4 linked regions of the Saccharomyces cerevisiae S288C genome follow. The gene in region 1 interacts genetically with each later gene. Each region holds a gene or a part of one and is shown on either strand. Other genes may lie near its edges.

What was found.
Region 2: mutations in HPT1 (region 1) and ADE1 together harm fitness more than expected from each alone (negative genetic interaction), as found in Saccharomyces cerevisiae (3 studies listed by BioGRID).
Region 3: mutations in HPT1 (region 1) and SHM2 together harm fitness more than expected from each alone (negative genetic interaction), as found in Saccharomyces cerevisiae (4 studies listed by BioGRID).
Region 4: mutations in HPT1 (region 1) and SER1 together harm fitness more than expected from each alone (negative genetic interaction), as found in Saccharomyces cerevisiae (4 studies listed by BioGRID).

What each region holds. Positions count from the first base shown.
Region 1 is NC_001136.10:1,267,382-1,271,765, forward strand, and holds HPT1 (hypoxanthine phosphoribosyltransferase), read left to right. Parts: upstream 1-2,686; coding exon 2,687-3,352; downstream 3,353-4,384. Other genes in the region: UTP5 (Utp5p), read left to right, coding at 90-2,021; URH1 (trifunctional uridine nucleosidase/nicotinamide riboside hydrolase/nicotinic acid riboside hydrolase), read left to right, coding at 3,682-4,384. UniProt on the Saccharomyces cerevisiae protein: Converts guanine to guanosine monophosphate, and hypoxanthine to inosine monophosphate. Transfers the 5-phosphoribosyl group from 5-phosphoribosylpyrophosphate onto the purine.
Region 2 is NC_001133.9:167,107-171,469, reverse strand, and holds ADE1 (phosphoribosylaminoimidazolesuccinocarboxamide synthase), read right to left. Parts: upstream 2,096-4,363; coding exon 1,175-2,095; downstream 1-1,174. Other genes in the region: serine/threonine protein kinase KIN3, read left to right, coding at 1-1,074; protein phosphatase regulator BUD14, read left to right, coding at 2,599-4,363. UniProt on the Saccharomyces cerevisiae protein: Catalyzes the reaction of 4-carboxy-5-aminoimidazole ribotide (CAIR) and aspartic acid with the formation of N-succinyl-5-amino-imidazole-4-carboxamide ribotide (SAICAR) in the purine biosynthesis pathway.
Region 3 is NC_001144.5:256,561-261,791, reverse strand, and holds SHM2 (glycine hydroxymethyltransferase SHM2), read left to right. Parts: upstream 1-2,390; coding exon 2,391-3,800; downstream 3,801-5,231. Other genes in the region: FRS1 (phenylalanine--tRNA ligase subunit beta), read right to left, coding at 1-813; REX2 (Rex2p), read left to right, coding at 1,245-2,054; putative mannosidase MNL2, read right to left, coding at 3,937-5,231. UniProt on the Saccharomyces cerevisiae protein: Interconversion of serine and glycine.
Region 4 is NC_001147.6:677,267-681,964, forward strand, and holds SER1 (O-phospho-L-serine:2-oxoglutarate transaminase), read left to right. Parts: upstream 1-2,090; coding exon 2,091-3,278; downstream 3,279-4,698. Other genes in the region: actin-binding protein LAS17, read left to right, coding at 1-574; 40S ribosomal protein eS30 RPS30B, read right to left, coding at 925-1,113, 1,525-1,527; FYV12 (Fyv12p), read left to right, coding at 1,606-1,995; Ran GTPase GSP2, read right to left, coding at 4,178-4,698. UniProt on the Saccharomyces cerevisiae protein: Phosphoserine aminotransferase (PSAT) is a pyridoxal 5'-phosphate-dependent enzyme involved in the second step of the phosphorylated pathway of serine biosynthesis.

The sequences.
Region 1 (4,384 bases):
ATGTAAAGATAGATGCAGAGCATATATAGTTTAAACTTGGCTTAGCAAGAGGGTAAAAGACACATTTGCCTTATAATTGTTCATTACCGATGGATTCTCCTGTTCTACAGTCCGCTTATGACCCATCAGGTCAGTATTTGTGTTATGTCACTGTAGCTTTGGACAAGCAACGCGTTGGTGTACAGCCCACTCAAAGGGCCACTTCCTCCGGAGTTGATACAGTGTGGAATGAGAATTTTCTGTATTTAGAGGACTCGAAATTGAAGGTGACGTGCTTAAAATGGGTAAACCTGGCTTCTTCCGACACAGTGGCTATTATATTGGGTATGAATAACGGTGAAATTTGGCTATATTCCGTATTGGCCAACGAAGTCACCTATAAATTCACTACGGGGAATTCTTACGAAATCAAAGACATAGACTTGATGGGTAATCAACTGTGGTGTATCGACTCCAGCGACGCATTCTATCAGTTCGATCTGTTACAATTCAAACTGTTACAACATTTTAGAATAAACAACTGCGTTCAATTGAATAAACTAACCATTGTTCCAGCAGGCGATTCTGTTGCACAACTTTTGGTTGCATCCCATTCCATTTCTTTAATAGACATCGAAGAGAAAAAAGTCGTAATGACATTTCCCGGTCATGTATCTCCAGTGTCCACATTGCAAGTTATAACTAATGAATTTTTCATATCAGGCGCAGAGGGTGATAGATTCTTGAACGTATATGATATTCATTCCGGTATGACCAAATGCGTCCTTGTGGCTGAATCAGATATCAAGGAGTTATCTCATTCAGGCCAAGCCGATTCTATCGCAGTCACTACCGAGGATGGTAGCTTGGAAATTTTTGTTGATCCATTGGTATCGAGTTCAACAAAGAAAAGAGGCAACAAGTCCAAAAAATCCAGCAAAAAGATTCAAATCGTCAGTAAAGACGGCAGGAAAGTTCCAATTTATAACGCATTTATTAATAAAGACCTTTTGAACGTATCGTGGTTACAAAATGCTACTATGCCTTACTTCAAGAACTTGCAGTGGAGAGAAATCCCTAATGAATATACCGTCGAAATTTCCCTAAATTGGAATAATAAAAATAAGTCCGCCGATCGCGATCTACACGGTAAAGATCTTGCCTCAGCCACCAACTACGTGGAAGGTAATGCAAGAGTCACCTCTGGAGATAACTTCAAGCATGTTGATGACGCTATAAAGAGCTGGGAAAGAGAATTGACTTCTTTGGAACAAGAACAGGCCAAGCCCCCACAGGCCAATGAACTATTAACAGAAACATTTGGTGATAAGCTAGAATCAAGCACCGTCGCAAGGATTAGTGGGAAAAAAACAAATTTAAAAGGTTCCAATCTCAAGACTGCTACGACAACCGGGACGGTAACAGTAATTCTGTCGCAAGCACTACAATCAAATGATCATTCACTGTTGGAAACAGTGCTCAATAATCGTGACGAGAGGGTCATTAGGGATACTATCTTCCGTCTGAAACCAGCACTGGCTGTCATTCTCTTAGAAAGGTTGGCAGAGAGGATTGCAAGACAAACCCACCGTCAAGGCCCATTGAATGTTTGGGTAAAATGGTGTTTAATCATACACGGTGGCTATTTGGTTTCTATTCCAAATTTGATGTCTACTCTATCGTCGTTACATTCCACCTTGAAAAGGCGTTCCGACTTATTACCAAGGCTACTAGCACTGGATGCAAGGTTAGACTGTACTATAAATAAATTCAAAACTTTGAACTATGAAGCAGGCGACATCCACTCATCCGAACCAGTTGTCGAAGAGGACGAAGACGACGTTGAATATAACGAAGAACTCGATGATGCCGGCCTTATAGAGGACGGTGAAGAATCTTATGGCAGTGAAGAAGAAGAAGAAGGTGATAGTGACAACGAAGAGGAACAGAAGCATACCTCATCTAAGCAAGATGGCCGTTTAGAAACGGAGCAGAGCGACGGCGAGGAGGAAGCCGGATATAGTGACGTTGAGATGGAATAGAGGATATCATGCATAAAATGCTTTCACGCATCAGAATACAAAAATAATCTCTAGGCACATAAATACTTATATAGAGTTCACCACATAATGTAAGAAAAGAAAAAAGAAAAAAAAAGATCACGAAAGTATCCCACGCGAAGAAGATCTGTCAAAAGACCCCCACAATCGTTTATCCTTTTTGAACTGCATCTGGCATCGTTAACAGTAAGGCCATCTGGAACATCAAGCAAGCACTCCACTTTTACGTCACAACCATAGTTGGTTAACTAAGAAAAGACAGTACATATTTCCCTTCCGAGTCACTTATTTTTTTTTTCTTCTGAAAAAATTAATTAGATTAATTTCAATTAATATCATTTCCGCTTATCTGACTTCTTTCATTTTTTTTCTCTATATTTCGCGTTTACTAGGAAAGAAAAGGAAAAAAAATTTTTCCCCCTCCATCTGTCCCAAATCGGGTAGCGATGAGCTGCTATAGAATTTTCTATTTAAACATGTTTGATAAGCCCAATTTCCGTTAGATTTTGTTCCCCCTTCGCAGTTTGGTTTGCCGTAACTTTTTTATTTTAGTCTCCATCTAGCTGGAGTAATACGATGTAGTGCCTTGTAATCTTTCTTATTTTTATATTACCGTTCGTGTTCATTATATCCATTACGTTCCCATAATGTCGGCAAACGATAAGCAATACATCTCGTACAACAACGTACATCAACTATGTCAAGTATCCGCTGAGAGAATTAAGAATTTCAAGCCGGACTTAATCATTGCCATTGGTGGTGGTGGTTTCATTCCTGCTAGGATCCTACGTACGTTCCTAAAGGAGCCCGGCGTGCCAACCATCAGAATTTTTGCTATTATTTTGTCTTTGTACGAAGATTTGAACAGTGTAGGCTCAGAAGTTGAGGAAGTTGGTGTTAAGGTTAGCAGAACACAATGGATTGATTACGAGCAATGTAAATTAGATCTAGTCGGCAAGAACGTTCTTATCGTTGACGAAGTCGATGACACCCGTACCACACTTCATTACGCTTTGAGTGAATTGGAAAAGGATGCAGCTGAACAGGCAAAGGCTAAAGGTATCGATACTGAAAAGTCTCCAGAGATGAAAACAAACTTCGGGATTTTTGTTCTACACGATAAGCAAAAACCAAAGAAAGCAGATTTGCCTGCCGAAATGTTGAATGACAAGAACCGTTATTTTGCAGCTAAAACTGTTCCAGACAAGTGGTATGCATATCCATGGGAATCTACTGACATTGTTTTCCATACTAGAATGGCTATTGAACAGGGCAATGACATCTTTATTCCTGAGCAGGAACACAAGCAATGATAGACATATCATATCCTTCAGTAACTTGAATCATACAGCAGAATTTGTACAATAGACAACGCATATAACTGCGACCATATGTATACGTATAACTAATTATTATCTCAAAGTTTATTCCCTTAGCCTCACCGGTAACCTGTGAGGCGCGATTACGTTTTCCCTCTGTTCACCACCACGTAACGCGATATTTGACACATACGTGACAACTACTTTTGATGGAATCTGCTGATTTTTTTACCTCACGAAACTTATTAAAACAGATAATTTCCCTCATCTGCAAGGTTGGGGAAGGGTTGGACAGCAATAACCAGCGACTGTTTGAAGAAAAGATGACTGTTAGTAAAATACCCATATGGCTAGATTGTGATCCTGGTCATGATGATGCCATAGCCATTTTATTAGGCTGTTTCCATCCAGCTTTCAATCTTCTAGGAATCAGCACGTGTTTTGGTAACGCACCGCCAGAGAATACTGACTACAACGCCCGTTCTCTTTTGACTGCGATGGGCAAAGCACAAGCGATTCCAGTTTATAAAGGCGCACAGAGACCTTGGAAAAGGGAACCTCATTATGCTCCTGACATTCATGGTATATCAGGTTTAGACGGCACTTCTTTGCTACCTAAGCCAACATTTGAGGCAAGAACTGATAAAACGTATATTGAGGCCATTGAAGAGGCGATTCTAGCTAACAATGGAGAGATATCCTTTGTGTCTACTGGTGCACTTACCACATTAGCAACAGTTTTTAGGTGTAAACCATACCTAAAAAAATCTGTCAAATATATTAGCATTATGGGGGGTGGACTCCATGGTCTAGGAAACTGTAACCCAAATCTTTCTGCTGAATTCAACGTTTGGATTGATCCTGACGCAGCGAATTACATATTCCGTGATCCCGATGTAAAGGACAAATGTATAGTAGTTCCTCTAAATTTAACTCACAAGGCCATAGCTACTTACAAGGTTAACGAAATGATATACAACGAAAAGAATAACAGCAAGTTACGAGAATTGTTTTTGGAGCTTTTTC
Region 2 (4,363 bases), on another chromosome or scaffold:
TTGAAGCATGAAAATATTGTAGAATTTTATAACTGGGACTTCGATGAACAAAAAGAAGTGTTATACCTTTATATGGAATATTGTTCCAGGGGTGATTTATCCCAGATGATTAAGCACTACAAACAGGAGCATAAATATATACCAGAAAAAATTGTGTGGGGTATCCTGGCCCAATTATTGACTGCGCTCTATAAATGTCATTATGGTGTTGAATTGCCAACTTTGACCACAATATATGACCGGATGAAACCACCGGTAAAAGGCAAAAACATCGTTATCCATCGTGATCTGAAACCAGGAAATATATTCTTAAGCTATGATGATAGCGATTACAATATTAATGAACAAGTAGACGGTCACGAGGAAGTGAATAGTAATTATTACAGAGACCATAGAGTGAATTCAGGGAAAAGGGGGAGCCCTATGGACTATAGTCAAGTTGTGGTAAAGTTAGGTGATTTTGGGTTAGCCAAATCTCTGGAAACTAGTATTCAATTTGCCACAACATACGTCGGTACACCATATTACATGTCGCCTGAAGTGTTGATGGACCAACCATACTCCCCACTATCCGACATCTGGTCACTAGGTTGTGTTATTTTTGAGATGTGTTCGTTGCACCCCCCATTTCAGGCAAAAAATTATCTCGAGCTACAAACTAAGATTAAAAACGGGAAATGTGACACCGTCCCTGAGTATTACTCTAGAGGGCTTAATGCCATAATACATTCAATGATAGATGTGAACTTAAGAACCAGGCCTTCCACTTTTGAATTACTGCAAGATATTCAGATACGAACTGCAAGAAAGTCGTTGCAATTAGAGAGATTTGAAAGGAAGTTACTGGACTATGAAAATGAGCTGACAAACATTGAAAAAATCCTCGAGAAGCAAGCTATTGAATACGAAAGAGAACTGAGTCAGTTGAAGGAACAATTTACCCAGGCAGTGGAGGAGCGAGCCAGGGAAGTAATTAGCGGTAAGAAAGTTGGTAAGGTTCCAGAATCTATAAACGGATATTATGGTAAAAAATTTGCCAAACCTGCATACCACTGGCAAACAAGATATCGATAAAATTTGCTCTGAGAACATTTATACATTAATACATACGGGTATGTATGAATCATATTCAGTGAGGAGTTACACTGGCGACTTGTAGTATATGTAAATCACGTTAGTGAGACCATTTAGACCCTGTCAATGTTTCATAAGCCTCTATATATTTGGCCCTTGTCCTGTCGACAATGTCTTGGGGCATTTTGACGCCGTTAACACCGTTCAACTTATTAGCAGTAAGCCAGTCTCTTAAAAATTGCTTATCGTAAGAATCTTGGGATTCTCCTACCTTATAAGAGGCACCGTTCCAGAATCTAGAGGAGTCTGGCGTTAGCACCTCGTCCACTAGAATAATTTCATTGGTCTTTTCGTCAATACCGAATTCGAATTTAGTGTCTGCGATGATGATGCCCTTCTCCTTAGCATAATCTTTGCACTTGGAGTACAGTTTTACAGCCAGTTCTGCCACTCTACGTGACAAATCTTCACCCACCAGCTCAGCGGCCTGGGCAGGAGAGATGTTTTCGTCATGTTCACCTTGTTCAGCCTTGGTCGATGGGGTGAAGATTGGTTCTGGGAACTCTTGAGATTCTTTAAGTCCTTGAGGTTGTTTCAAACCATGCACAGTACCTGTTTTTACGTACTCTTTCCAAGCAGATCCGGTGATGTAGCCTCTGACAATTACTTCCAATGGAATTAGTTTATGTTTGTGAACCAATAGAGAGCGGTCTTCTAGTTGCGTTTTGTACTTTGGTTCGCTCAATTTTGCAGGTAGATAATCGAAAATAGTCTTACCTGGGGCGATGTCGACCAAATGATTACGAACATCGTTGGACAGGAACTTGAACCAGAACTCTGACAGTTTGGTCAATAGGATCCCCTTTTCAGGAATGCTGTTTTCCATAATAACGTCATATGCAGAGATACGATCCGTAGCAACAAACAGCAACGTACCAGCGTCTACCTCATATATGTCTCTAACTTTACCTCTGGCCACCAATGGCAATATACCGTCCAGTTCAGTCTTCGTAATTGACATTATCGTTAATATTTCGTATGTGTATTCTTTGTAAGCAATGCTTATGATTCGATTGTTCTTAATAGTACCAACTGCAAAAGATAAAACCCAACCGTCTTACCTCAAAGAATCTGGGTAAGAATATATAGAATGTATATATATATATATGTATGTCTATATGTATTAGATGGCATCTTCGAGATTAGTATTATTACATCCTCATCTCTCGCAAGAGTCAGACTGACTCGTGAATAAGCTTCGGGTGACCCTTATGGCATTCTTTTTCAACCTTCAGGAAAAGTTTCAGATGAGTTGAAATTTCGAGTATGGCTACATGGATCAAGTGCTGTAAACAAAGAAGCTTCTACAGGGGTACGCTGGTTGTGTTTTCTGCTTTGCTATCGTGTAGAACTGGATCCATTCTTTCCTGGCTGTGGTAGTACTTAAGGAGTTGGACGTGTTCAAGTCGAGAAAGAGGTGAAATACACGTAGTTTTTAGATAACATTCTCTGCTTGGTAAGAGAATGAGTAATAAGGAAGAGCATGTTGATGAGACTTCCGCAAGTGGTGTCAAGGAGGTTAGTTCTATAGCTGCTAGACATGACAATGGTTACGCGCCTTCGCTAATCACGTCGACGTCGGGCATGGACTCCTTTCAATCGCACGCGCTACTGAATGATCCAACCCTAATAGAGGATTATTCAGATATCATTAATAATAGGCCTACAAGTGGAAGTAAACTTACTTTAGGAAACGAGGATTCGGAGAGTATGGGCGGAAGTGTTGTGGTGACTCCGACTTCGAATAAGAGTTCGCCCTTCAATTCGAAACTTAATATACTGAGTAATGCGGCAGAAAAGGGCCATGATGTTCTGCGAAATAGAGATGATGACAAAGAGTTAGAGGAGGAGAACGTGGAAAAACATATGCATAGCAACAGTAAAAGGGATCAGCGACATTACAAAGAAAATTCTTCGGAATTGCCCGACTCATATGATTATTCGGATTCTGAATTTGAGGACAATTTGGAAAGAAGGCTACAAGAGATCGAAACTGATTCCGTGGATAGCGCCGATAAGGATGAGGTGCATTTTTCAGTGAATAATACAATGAACCCTGACGTTGACGATTTTAGTGATGGCTTGAAATACGCCATCTCGGAGGACGAGGATGAAGAGGAAAACTACTCTGATGACGATGACTTTGACAGAAAATTTCAAGATTCAGGGTTTCAAGGGGAGAAAGACGATTTGGAGGAGGAAAACGACGATTACCAACCCTTATCGCCGCCAAGAGAACTGGACCCTGATAAACTATATGCTTTATATGCGTTCAATGGCCATGATTCTTCACATTGTCAATTAGGGCAAGACGAACCTTGTATACTTTTGAATGACCAGGATGCCTATTGGTGGCTGGTTAAGAGGATCACTGATGGTAAAATCGGGTTTGCGCCAGCGGAAATTCTAGAAACCTTTCCAGAAAGACTAGCTCGATTGAATTGCTGGAAAAATGAAAACATGTCTTCTCAATCGGTTGCTTCCTCCGATTCGAAAGATGATTCCATCAGCTCTGGTAACAAGAATCAAAGTGATGCAGAGAGTATAATTCCGACACCTGCACTGAATGGATATGGTAAGGGGAACAAATCTGTTAGTTTCAATGATGTTGTCGGTTATGCAGACAGGTTTATAGATGATGCAATTGAAGATACCTCGTTAGATAGTAACGATGATGGCGGTGAAGGCAATGGACAGTCGTACGACGATGATGTTGATAACGACAAGGAAACAAAAGTAACGCACCGGGACGAATACACTGAAGCGAAGTTAAATTTTGGCAAATTCCAGGATGATGATACGAGCGATGTAGTGAGCGACGTCTCCTTTAGTACATCTTTGAATACACCACTAAATGTGAAAAAAGTTCGGAGACAAGACAACAAAAACGAAAGTGAGCCTAAGACATCATCGAGTAAAGACAGAGAAGATGATTATAATGCAAATCGGTATGTGGGGCAAGAAAAGTCTGAACCGGTTGACAGTGATTACGATACCGATCTGAAAAAAGTATTTGAAGCGCCTCGTATGCCATTTGCGAATGGTATGGCAAAATCAGACTCTCAAAATTCCCTTTCAACAATTGGCGAGTTTTCACCGTCGTCGTCAGAATGGACAAACGAATCACCATCCACTCCAATAGTTGAAGAAAGCAGCAGTATTCCATCATCTAGAGCAATAAAGGACATTTCACAATATATTCATGCAAAATCGAAAATTGAAGAGACAA
Region 3 (5,231 bases), on another chromosome or scaffold:
GAATGGTTCGTCACAATAACGTGAGAACATTGTAGTTAATATGTTCAAAACGATCTCGGCTTTGGTCTTATCGGTGGCGGTTATATCAATCAAAATGTTACGGGTGTTCACAGAGATCTTCGAATGTTCACTATTGATTAATGGTGGCAGGGAGCAAACACGATCTTTGCTGTCCATAATAACTGGGAAGACTGGAGAATCCTCAATAATGTGAACGTATCTCCCTATGTTGTTTTTCTGTTCTGGAGATTTATAAAACTCGATCAATTTGTCACCAGTAAACTCTTGGGTTTGATTCAATGGTACGAACTTGATGTCCTTTGGTGGTAGAGCTCTGTAATGGAATGGACCTTCAATTGAATCTAAATCGTGAGTACCCATGGCAACCAAGCTTCTGTTTCTACATAGATTGGCATGTAATTTATCTTGCAAGGCAATAAAAGAAGCGTAAGATTTTTCGTTAAGCTTGATATTTCTCAATACAGCAGCGGTAGCAAAAGGTCTAATTTGCTCCGTTGATTTGTCGATGATCAACTTAGTGGTTGGCTTGCTTAATTTATAGTCAGGTCTTTCTTTACGTTCCAAGTATTCGTTCAGCGACTGTGAAATACCTTCGATACAAAGCAAATCGTAACGATTGGCACTGATATCAAGCTTCAATTCCGGCTCCTCCCCGGTTTTCAAGGCCTCCTCTGTGGTGTCTTCGTCCATTTCCATACCGAATTCAAAACATAATTCATCGAACTCTTGGGAAGTGTAGTTTTTGCCTAGAAGATCAAATAATTGCTGCTTGTTCACGGAGACGGTAGGCATGCTGGCTCGGTGTTATTGATGTGTGTTATGCTATTCTGCCCTATTTTTTGAACATTTGATCAACTCCAGGCTTTCGAGAAATACATTGAAAATTTTTCATTTCCTTCAATTTTCTTTCTTTTTTGGTACCGATTCTGAATAATCGGTCACCTCGTGTGTCGTGATAAATAATCAAGAAGATGTACTTTTATACAAGGGTTGTAGTCATCTGGGACACTCTCAGAGCACTGGCTCTGACGACAACCATCAAACGCATGCTCATACGTATAATTCAAGCCTTACATACACTGGTATTCCCTTTGGGGTGTTTCTTTTTCCTGTCAAGTTGGGCACTTAAAAGAACTAATAAAAAATCAGTGTGAACTTTTCGATTTGCAAAGAAAATGAAAAAAAAGAAAAGGAGCTTTCACAAATAAACAGAAGAGATCAAGATGAAGTGGTTGTTGTTTCCGGCAAGAATCGTAGCTCGCACTCGCCCAAACCTCTTCTCGCTGTACAGAAGATCCGTTTCACAGTACTTACGTCCTCGAACCATCCAAAACCTGCAATCAATGGCGCAAACACCCGAACTTAAAACCAAGCTGTTCAAACCCTTGGTCTGGATCGACTGCGAGATGACCGGTTTAGACCACGTGAATGACAGAATTATCGAGATTTGCTGCATCATCACCGATGGACACCTGGCACCCGTCAAAGCGGCCGATGGCCAAGGAGACTCGCATTATGAGAGCGTCATCCATTATGGTCCCGAGGTGATGAACAAAATGAACGAGTGGTGTATTGAGCACCACGGTAATAGCGGTCTCACCGCCAAAGTTTTGGCAAGTGAGAAGACTTTGGCCCAGGTAGAAGATGAGCTGCTCGAGTACATCCAGCGCTACATCCCAGACAAGAACGTTGGCGTCTTGGCAGGCAATAGTGTACATATGGACCGCTTGTTCATGGTCCGCGAGTTTCCCAAGGTCATTGATCATCTCTTTTACAGAATAGTTGACGTCAGTAGCATCATGGAAGTTGCCCGCAGACACAATCCCGCTTTACAAGCACGTAATCCAAAAAAAGAAGCTGCCCACACTGCTTATAGTGATATCAAAGAGAGCATAGCTCAATTGCAATGGTACATGGACAACTACTTGAAGCCACCACAGGAAACAGAGTCGGTCGAGTCAATCGGATCTGAACAGCCGGAGTCACCATCTTCATCTACCTCATCTTTGAAAAGACAACGCACCGATTTTTAATGTAGAAAAAAAAAAAGAAAAAAGAAGTGAAATTTTTCAAATATTTCACACACGAAACATGACTCCTGGTGAGAAATGACCCTTTCAGGTTGCTTTGACCATAAAGGTTTGACTCTATCTCTTGGGTTTCTCATGTTCGCTTTTTACTCTGTATAATTTTTAAATTCATAATCATCTTAGACCGAACCATGAGTCTTCTTCATCTTGTTTTATATATAATGCAGAACTTGCTTCCCTTAGTTTGCGTTCAGTAATCTTTCCTTCTTCTAGTGTAACCTTTACGAAAGATACTACCCCATAGCAAAGCATAACAGCTTAAACCGAATCCTCCTTAACATGCCTTACACTCTATCCGACGCTCATCATAAGTTGATCACCTCTCATTTGGTGGACACCGACCCTGAAGTGGACTCCATTATCAAGGATGAAATTGAAAGACAAAAGCACTCCATCGATTTGATTGCTTCTGAAAATTTCACCTCAACCTCCGTTTTCGATGCCCTTGGAACTCCATTGTCCAACAAATACTCTGAAGGTTATCCAGGTGCTCGTTACTACGGTGGTAATGAACACATTGACAGAATGGAAATTCTATGTCAACAAAGAGCTTTGAAAGCTTTCCATGTTACTCCAGACAAATGGGGTGTTAACGTCCAAACTTTATCTGGTTCTCCTGCTAACTTGCAGGTTTATCAAGCTATTATGAAGCCTCATGAAAGATTGATGGGTCTATACCTACCAGATGGTGGTCATTTGTCTCACGGTTACGCTACTGAAAACAGAAAAATTTCTGCTGTTTCCACATACTTCGAATCTTTCCCATACAGAGTTAACCCAGAAACCGGTATTATCGACTACGATACTTTAGAAAAGAACGCCATCCTATATAGACCAAAGGTTCTTGTTGCTGGTACTTCAGCATACTGTCGTTTAATTGACTACAAGAGAATGAGAGAAATCGCCGACAAATGTGGTGCTTACTTGATGGTAGACATGGCCCACATTTCTGGTTTGATCGCCGCAGGTGTCATCCCATCTCCTTTCGAATACGCTGATATCGTTACCACCACCACTCACAAGTCTTTGAGAGGTCCACGTGGTGCTATGATTTTCTTCAGAAGAGGTGTGAGATCTATCAACCCTAAGACCGGTAAGGAAGTTCTATACGACTTGGAAAACCCAATTAACTTCTCTGTTTTCCCAGGTCACCAAGGTGGTCCACACAACCATACCATTGCTGCTTTGGCCACTGCTTTGAAGCAAGCTGCCACTCCAGAATTCAAGGAATACCAAACTCAAGTCTTGAAGAATGCTAAGGCTTTGGAAAGTGAATTTAAGAACTTGGGCTACAGATTAGTTTCCAACGGTACCGATTCTCACATGGTTCTAGTATCCTTGAGAGAAAAGGGTGTTGATGGTGCTCGTGTTGAATACATTTGTGAAAAGATTAACATTGCTTTGAACAAAAACTCTATTCCAGGTGACAAATCTGCTTTGGTTCCAGGTGGTGTCCGTATTGGGGCTCCAGCCATGACCACTAGAGGAATGGGTGAAGAAGATTTCCACAGAATTGTTCAATACATTAACAAGGCTGTAGAATTCGCTCAACAAGTTCAACAAAGCTTGCCAAAGGATGCTTGTAGATTAAAGGACTTCAAAGCCAAGGTCGACGAAGGCTCTGATGTTTTGAACACCTGGAAAAAGGAAATTTACGACTGGGCTGGCGAATACCCATTGGCTGTGTAAAGAAATCACCACAACGACACTTAATCCCAAAAAAATAAACATTACTGTATAAGTATTCATTTTCTCCTCTTCTCATTATGTATATATGTACCTATATGTATGTATGTATGTGCGTACGATTTTTCTAACGTTAACTTCATTTCTTTTTGATTATGTGCCCTCCTTGAGTTAAGATGTGTTTGTCCAGGGAAACCTTGTCACCATCGCTGAATAGTAGCAAATAGTATTTTAATGTTCTGGAGAACCAATAGCTAGGTAAATCATTGTTCACTTTTTCACCGTTTTCATAAAATTCCTTTATTTGCCACAATCCTTTGGCACCACTGTTTAGTTCCATTAATTCTTGCATTAAGATTCCAAAAGACTGCTTACCCATGCTTCTCCATTTTTGTTCTCCACTGATTCTGTACATATAAAATATAGATTCAATGATATTCGAATCCAACAATCTTCTGGATTCTACCTTGTTGACCCAAAATGGCCAGTCTGGATGGTTTTTCCACTGAGAACCCATGGTATCGTCCGTTGTAATATGCGGTTTGATATCCTTACCAAGCGTAAAAACTCTACGTATTTGCGTTACTTCGTCGCCGTCTATTTCAGCAATCGATTTCGAGCTTCCAACAGTATCACCTTTTATGTTTTGAGTCTCTGTTATCCCATCTTTGCTTAGTACATTTCTCTTAGCTTTCTGGTCATTCCCACCTTTCCCATAATTCGAAACTTTGATCCCGACATCTAGGTCATTTTCAAAAGTTTCATATTCGCCGTTGGCAATCATTCGTGATTTAGTTTCGCCGTTAAACTCGCAATTCCCATTAGTCTCATCAGTGCAAGGGTCCAACTCGAATTTTTGAGGGAGCAGCCCGTCGAACTCCTCCATTAGCATAAAACAACTTTCTGTTATTATTTCGCTCATTTCCAATAGTGACGATGGTAAAATATATTTCGTGTTGACACCGCCTCGGTGGGGAACACGTGAACTTAAACCTAGAATGCCGCCAAGTCTGCATGAGTATAACGAGACATCGTAAGATTTTCTTATCGTGACATCTAGCTCATTAGTCGTGGGCATGAATTGAGATTTTGTTAGAATGGAATTCAGAAAATTAAACTTTTTGTTTTCCGTTTGCTTGGGCAACATGGGTCGAAAAGTCATGAATTTAAAAATGTTACTGATGGAATTTGTTAAAAACGTTTGCGAGTCTATTAATGATTTATCACCTACGGTGTTTTTTGTCGAATCTTTTTTAGTACCGTCTTTAAAGTTTCTTTTCTCAATTATTTCGTCGACTGCTTCTACCTCTGAACCAATACTGGGGTCCATCGTTGCAGCATTAGCATTTTTACTTGAGCCGTCCAGGATATCATAAGAAGATTGGAAGAGGTCATTGATTTTGAATAGATTTTCTAGAATGGGTACTGTTTTTT
Region 4 (4,698 bases), on another chromosome or scaffold:
TGCAGCAACTGGACAACCTGCAGTTCCCCTTCCTCAGAATACTCAAGCACCTTCGCAAGCCACAAATGTGCCAGTGGCACCACCACCTCCTCCGGCATCTTTAGGCCAGTCGCAGATACCTCAGTCAGCACCCTCAGCACCTATTCCGCCAACGTTACCATCGACGACGAGTGCTGCACCACCTCCGCCACCAGCATTCCTAACTCAACAACCTCAATCTGGAGGAGCTCCAGCTCCACCCCCACCTCCTCAAATGCCAGCTACATCAACATCCGGAGGCGGTTCATTCGCTGAAACTACTGGAGATGCAGGTCGTGATGCACTTTTAGCTTCAATTAGAGGGGCAGGTGGCATAGGCGCTTTGAGAAAAGTTGACAAATCGCAGCTAGATAAGCCCTCAGTTTTACTGCAGGAAGCACGTGGAGAATCTGCTTCACCACCAGCAGCGGCTGGAAATGGAGGCACACCTGGTGGACCTCCGGCTTCTTTAGCAGATGCGTTGGCAGCAGCTTTAAACAAAAGAAAAACTAAAGTGGGAGCTCATGACGATATGGACAATGGTGATGATTGGTAATGGAATGCAAACAAAGATGAAACTACTGTTATAGAAAATATGTAATTTTATGTACTCACTATTAATGATCAAAGTAATTGCTCTTTTTATGTATAGTTTCTTTAATCGGAGGAAATTTTGATATAGGTTCAAAGGCGGTCAGTGATTGAATGATCAAGGTAATAGTCGGGCTACAATGATGGCCATCCCTATGGCCGTTTCAAATGTTTGAGAAAATGATGTATAGTAAATCCTAGATTTTAGCAGTTCGAATCAAAAACCCATGTAAAAAGGGTAAATATTTCCTAATTATAATATTTTTGTTTAATTACACATGTAGAACAATAAAAGTATAGAATTTTAGATAGTATCTATTGGACAGATGGACCTGGGTTCATTCTTCTCTTACCGTTAACCAAGGTAACGTTAACGAATCTTCTGGTGTACAATAATCTCTTGTAAGCACGACCCTTTGGTTTCTTTGGCTTTTCAGTTTTTTCAACCTTTGGAGTTTGAGACTTAACTTTACCAGCACGAGCTAGAGAACCGTGAACTTTAGCCTAAGGAGAATTTGAAAAAAAAAAAATTTTTCATTTAATGTTAGTAATGAGATATTCAGACTTGTGTTATGGAGTTACTGCAACGCAGACGCTAATTTTTTAGGAAAGGTCTATATTCAACATGTTGTGAATATTAACGAGAATAATCGTCCTTTGAAATTCTCGTCTTTCTTCCTTTTTTGTACATTTACATCTCAACATAATAATGATACAATATTTTATTTTCTTTTCATTTTTCAGTCATTATCTACAGGCATTTGATGGATTATTAATATTATCATGGGGCAATCTTTCCTATTCAAAATATTACTTTGATCGTAGTTTTCCCTTTTAATACACCTTCTTCCTGTATGGGGACAAGTTTCCTAAAAAAAGCGTTTCGTGGAGCATTTTAACACAATATTAACGTACCATTTTGTATAATTTGTTTATCTAGTATCTTGAGGAAGGAGTGCTAATTCAGAATCTTCATCCTTAATATTGAAGATTGGGATGAGATTACTTCACCATGGTGAATACGGGACAAAACTAATTGGAGGAAAATGCAGCATAGATGGGAAACTCGGTCACCCTTGCCCGCTAAGCAGAAGACGCAAAAAACATCTGCGCGAAAAAGAAATGGGTCCACAATATGTACGGATGTATGGTCCCAAAAGAAAAGCCATAATAAGGACAGGAAACCCGGATGACGGCATTAATTTACCTGACACCGGCCGAGGCACCTTAACTGCAGCCACAATTTGGTCACGAGCTTACCATTCAAATTATTCTTACCTTGTACGCCCAAAAGTAGTGACTCTTTCTAAGCATCGCGAATTAATGACTACTTTTCTTTTATACGTTTTATATGTATGTATATATATAAGTGCCTTCATAAAATAGACAAAGACATTAAGGAGCCTTTGAAATTACTTAATTGAACAACACAGGTCTAATTAGTTGATCAATCATCGATTAACCATTAGTGATAAGAAACAATGTCTTTGGAAAGAGAGGAACCACAACATTTCGGAGCAGGGCCAGCTCAAATGCCTACACCAGTTTTGCAACAAGCTGCTAAAGACTTAATCAATTTCAATGACATAGGTTTGGGTATCGGTGAAATTTCTCACCGTTCGAAGGATGCCACCAAAGTGATTGAAGACTCTAAGAAGCACTTAATCGAACTGCTAAATATTCCTGACACTCATGAAGTGTTCTACTTGCAAGGTGGTGGCACTACTGGTTTTTCTTCCGTTGCTACTAATTTGGCAGCTGCATATGTGGGTAAGCATGGGAAGATTGCACCTGCCGGTTATTTAGTCACCGGTAGTTGGTCTCAGAAATCTTTTGAAGAGGCAAAGAGATTGCACGTTCCTGCTGAAGTTATCTTCAACGCTAAAGATTATAACAATGGCAAATTTGGTAAAATTCCGGATGAATCCCTTTGGGAAGATAAAATCAAAGGTAAGGCTTTCTCATACGTGTACCTATGTGAGAATGAAACTGTTCATGGTGTTGAATGGCCAGAATTACCAAAATGTTTAGTAAACGACCCCAACATCGAAATTGTTGCTGACTTATCCAGCGACATTTTGTCTCGTAAGATTGACGTTTCTCAATACGGTGTCATCATGGCAGGCGCCCAAAAAAACATTGGTTTAGCAGGCTTAACCCTATACATTATCAAGAAATCCATCCTTAAGAATATTTCTGGCGCTTCTGATGAAACATTACATGAATTGGGAGTACCAATCACCCCTATTGCATTCGACTATCCAACGGTGGTGAAGAACAACTCAGCCTATAATACAATTCCAATTTTCACTTTACATGTTATGGATCTCGTGTTCCAACATATTTTGAAGAAGGGTGGTGTTGAAGCGCAACAGGCTGAAAATGAAGAAAAGGCCAAGATATTATATGAGGCATTGGATGCAAATTCAGATTTTTACAACGTTCCAGTGGATCCAAAGTGTAGATCAAAAATGAATGTCGTTTTCACCCTTAAAAAGGACGGCCTTGATGACCAGTTTCTAAAAGAGGCAGCTGCTCGTCATTTAACCGGTTTGAAAGGACATCGTTCAGTTGGTGGGTTCAGAGCCTCCATCTATAACGCGCTTTCAGTGAAAGCTGTACAAAACTTGGTAGATTTTATCAAGGAATTTGCTGAGAAAAACGCTTAATATCAGCGGAATATGCCTGTAATTTGGTTCAAAGAAAAACTTTTTCAAGTCATATGTAAGTTTTAAATAAATCAGTTTACGAACATGCACAAGAATAACTTCTCTTCTTTTTCTTGAAATAAAGGCCGAATTATACGATATGATATGAGACGTTCTAATTACAATACGATACCGTGAGATAAAAATAGCGATATCCTCGTACTCAAAGAAGTCTAATTGTTTTAGCCCGTTGATCAAAAAAATAAAATGTATTTTTATTTTTTTGTCATCCAGCTCAAGATCGTAATATTGGCAATTAACAACCGAGCGAGGCACAGGGCAAAGAGAATGTGGGTGAGACTGAACTATCTCTCCCAATATATTATACTTTTTTTTGTCGCGTCTACCAATTAAATGAAAACATAATTGGGAATACTTTCCTCTTCTTATATTTTATCTTAACTCGTTTCCGATCTTCTGATATTCTATTTGTATATGAATAAGAACATTATTGTAATCGAAAGAAGTATCTCTTTTCAAGAGGATTACTTTTCATTGAAAACTTTTGGACGGGCAAAAAAAAAAAAGCGCCAGCAGGAAGAAAAAAGGAATCTAGTAAAAAATAAAAATTAGGTTTATAAAGTAGTAAGTGAAGTGCAAGAGGGAGCGTTATTGGACGATCATATTGTGATCGGATCCCGTTTATTGGTCTTTGATTCAATTTAAAAGAAAAGAAATGTACAGGTTAAACTTCAACATACCAAAAAAAAATTACAATGTGGCAATTAAACAGAGAAGAACTAATTCTTTAAAAATAGACTTTCAGAACTATATATTAAAAATAAAAGAAATTTCAAAAAAAAATTTTTAGATTGATGTGAGAAGAAGCAGAATATTTTCGTATATAAATTTTCATGTTTTTATAAATCAGCATCGTCTTCATCAGGTAATGGTAAAGCAGTGGCTTGGTCCATTTCTTGCTGGTATTGGTGCATTAGTTGCTCGTCAACTTGCACCTCAGGTGGGGCCAATGCAGGAGACGCAACAAACTCCAATTGTGGGTTACCGGCAAGTTTTCTAGCCAACCACAAGAAAGGCTTTTCAAAATTATAATTGGATTTTGCAGAAATGTCATAATATTGTAAGTTCTTTTTTCTATGGAAAGTGATAGTCTTGGCCTTGACCTTTCTCTCTTTGACATCGACTTTATTGCCACATAGCACTATGGGAATATTTTCACACACACGGACTAAGTCTCTATGCCAATTAGGGACGTTCTTGTAAGTGATTCTGGATGTGACATCGAACATAATAATTGCACATTGAGCATTGATGTAATAACCATCCCTTAACCCGCCAAATTTTTCTTGGCCTGCGGTATCCCAGACATCGAACTTAATTTCACCGAAATTAGTATAAAAAGATAGAGGATGAACTTCTA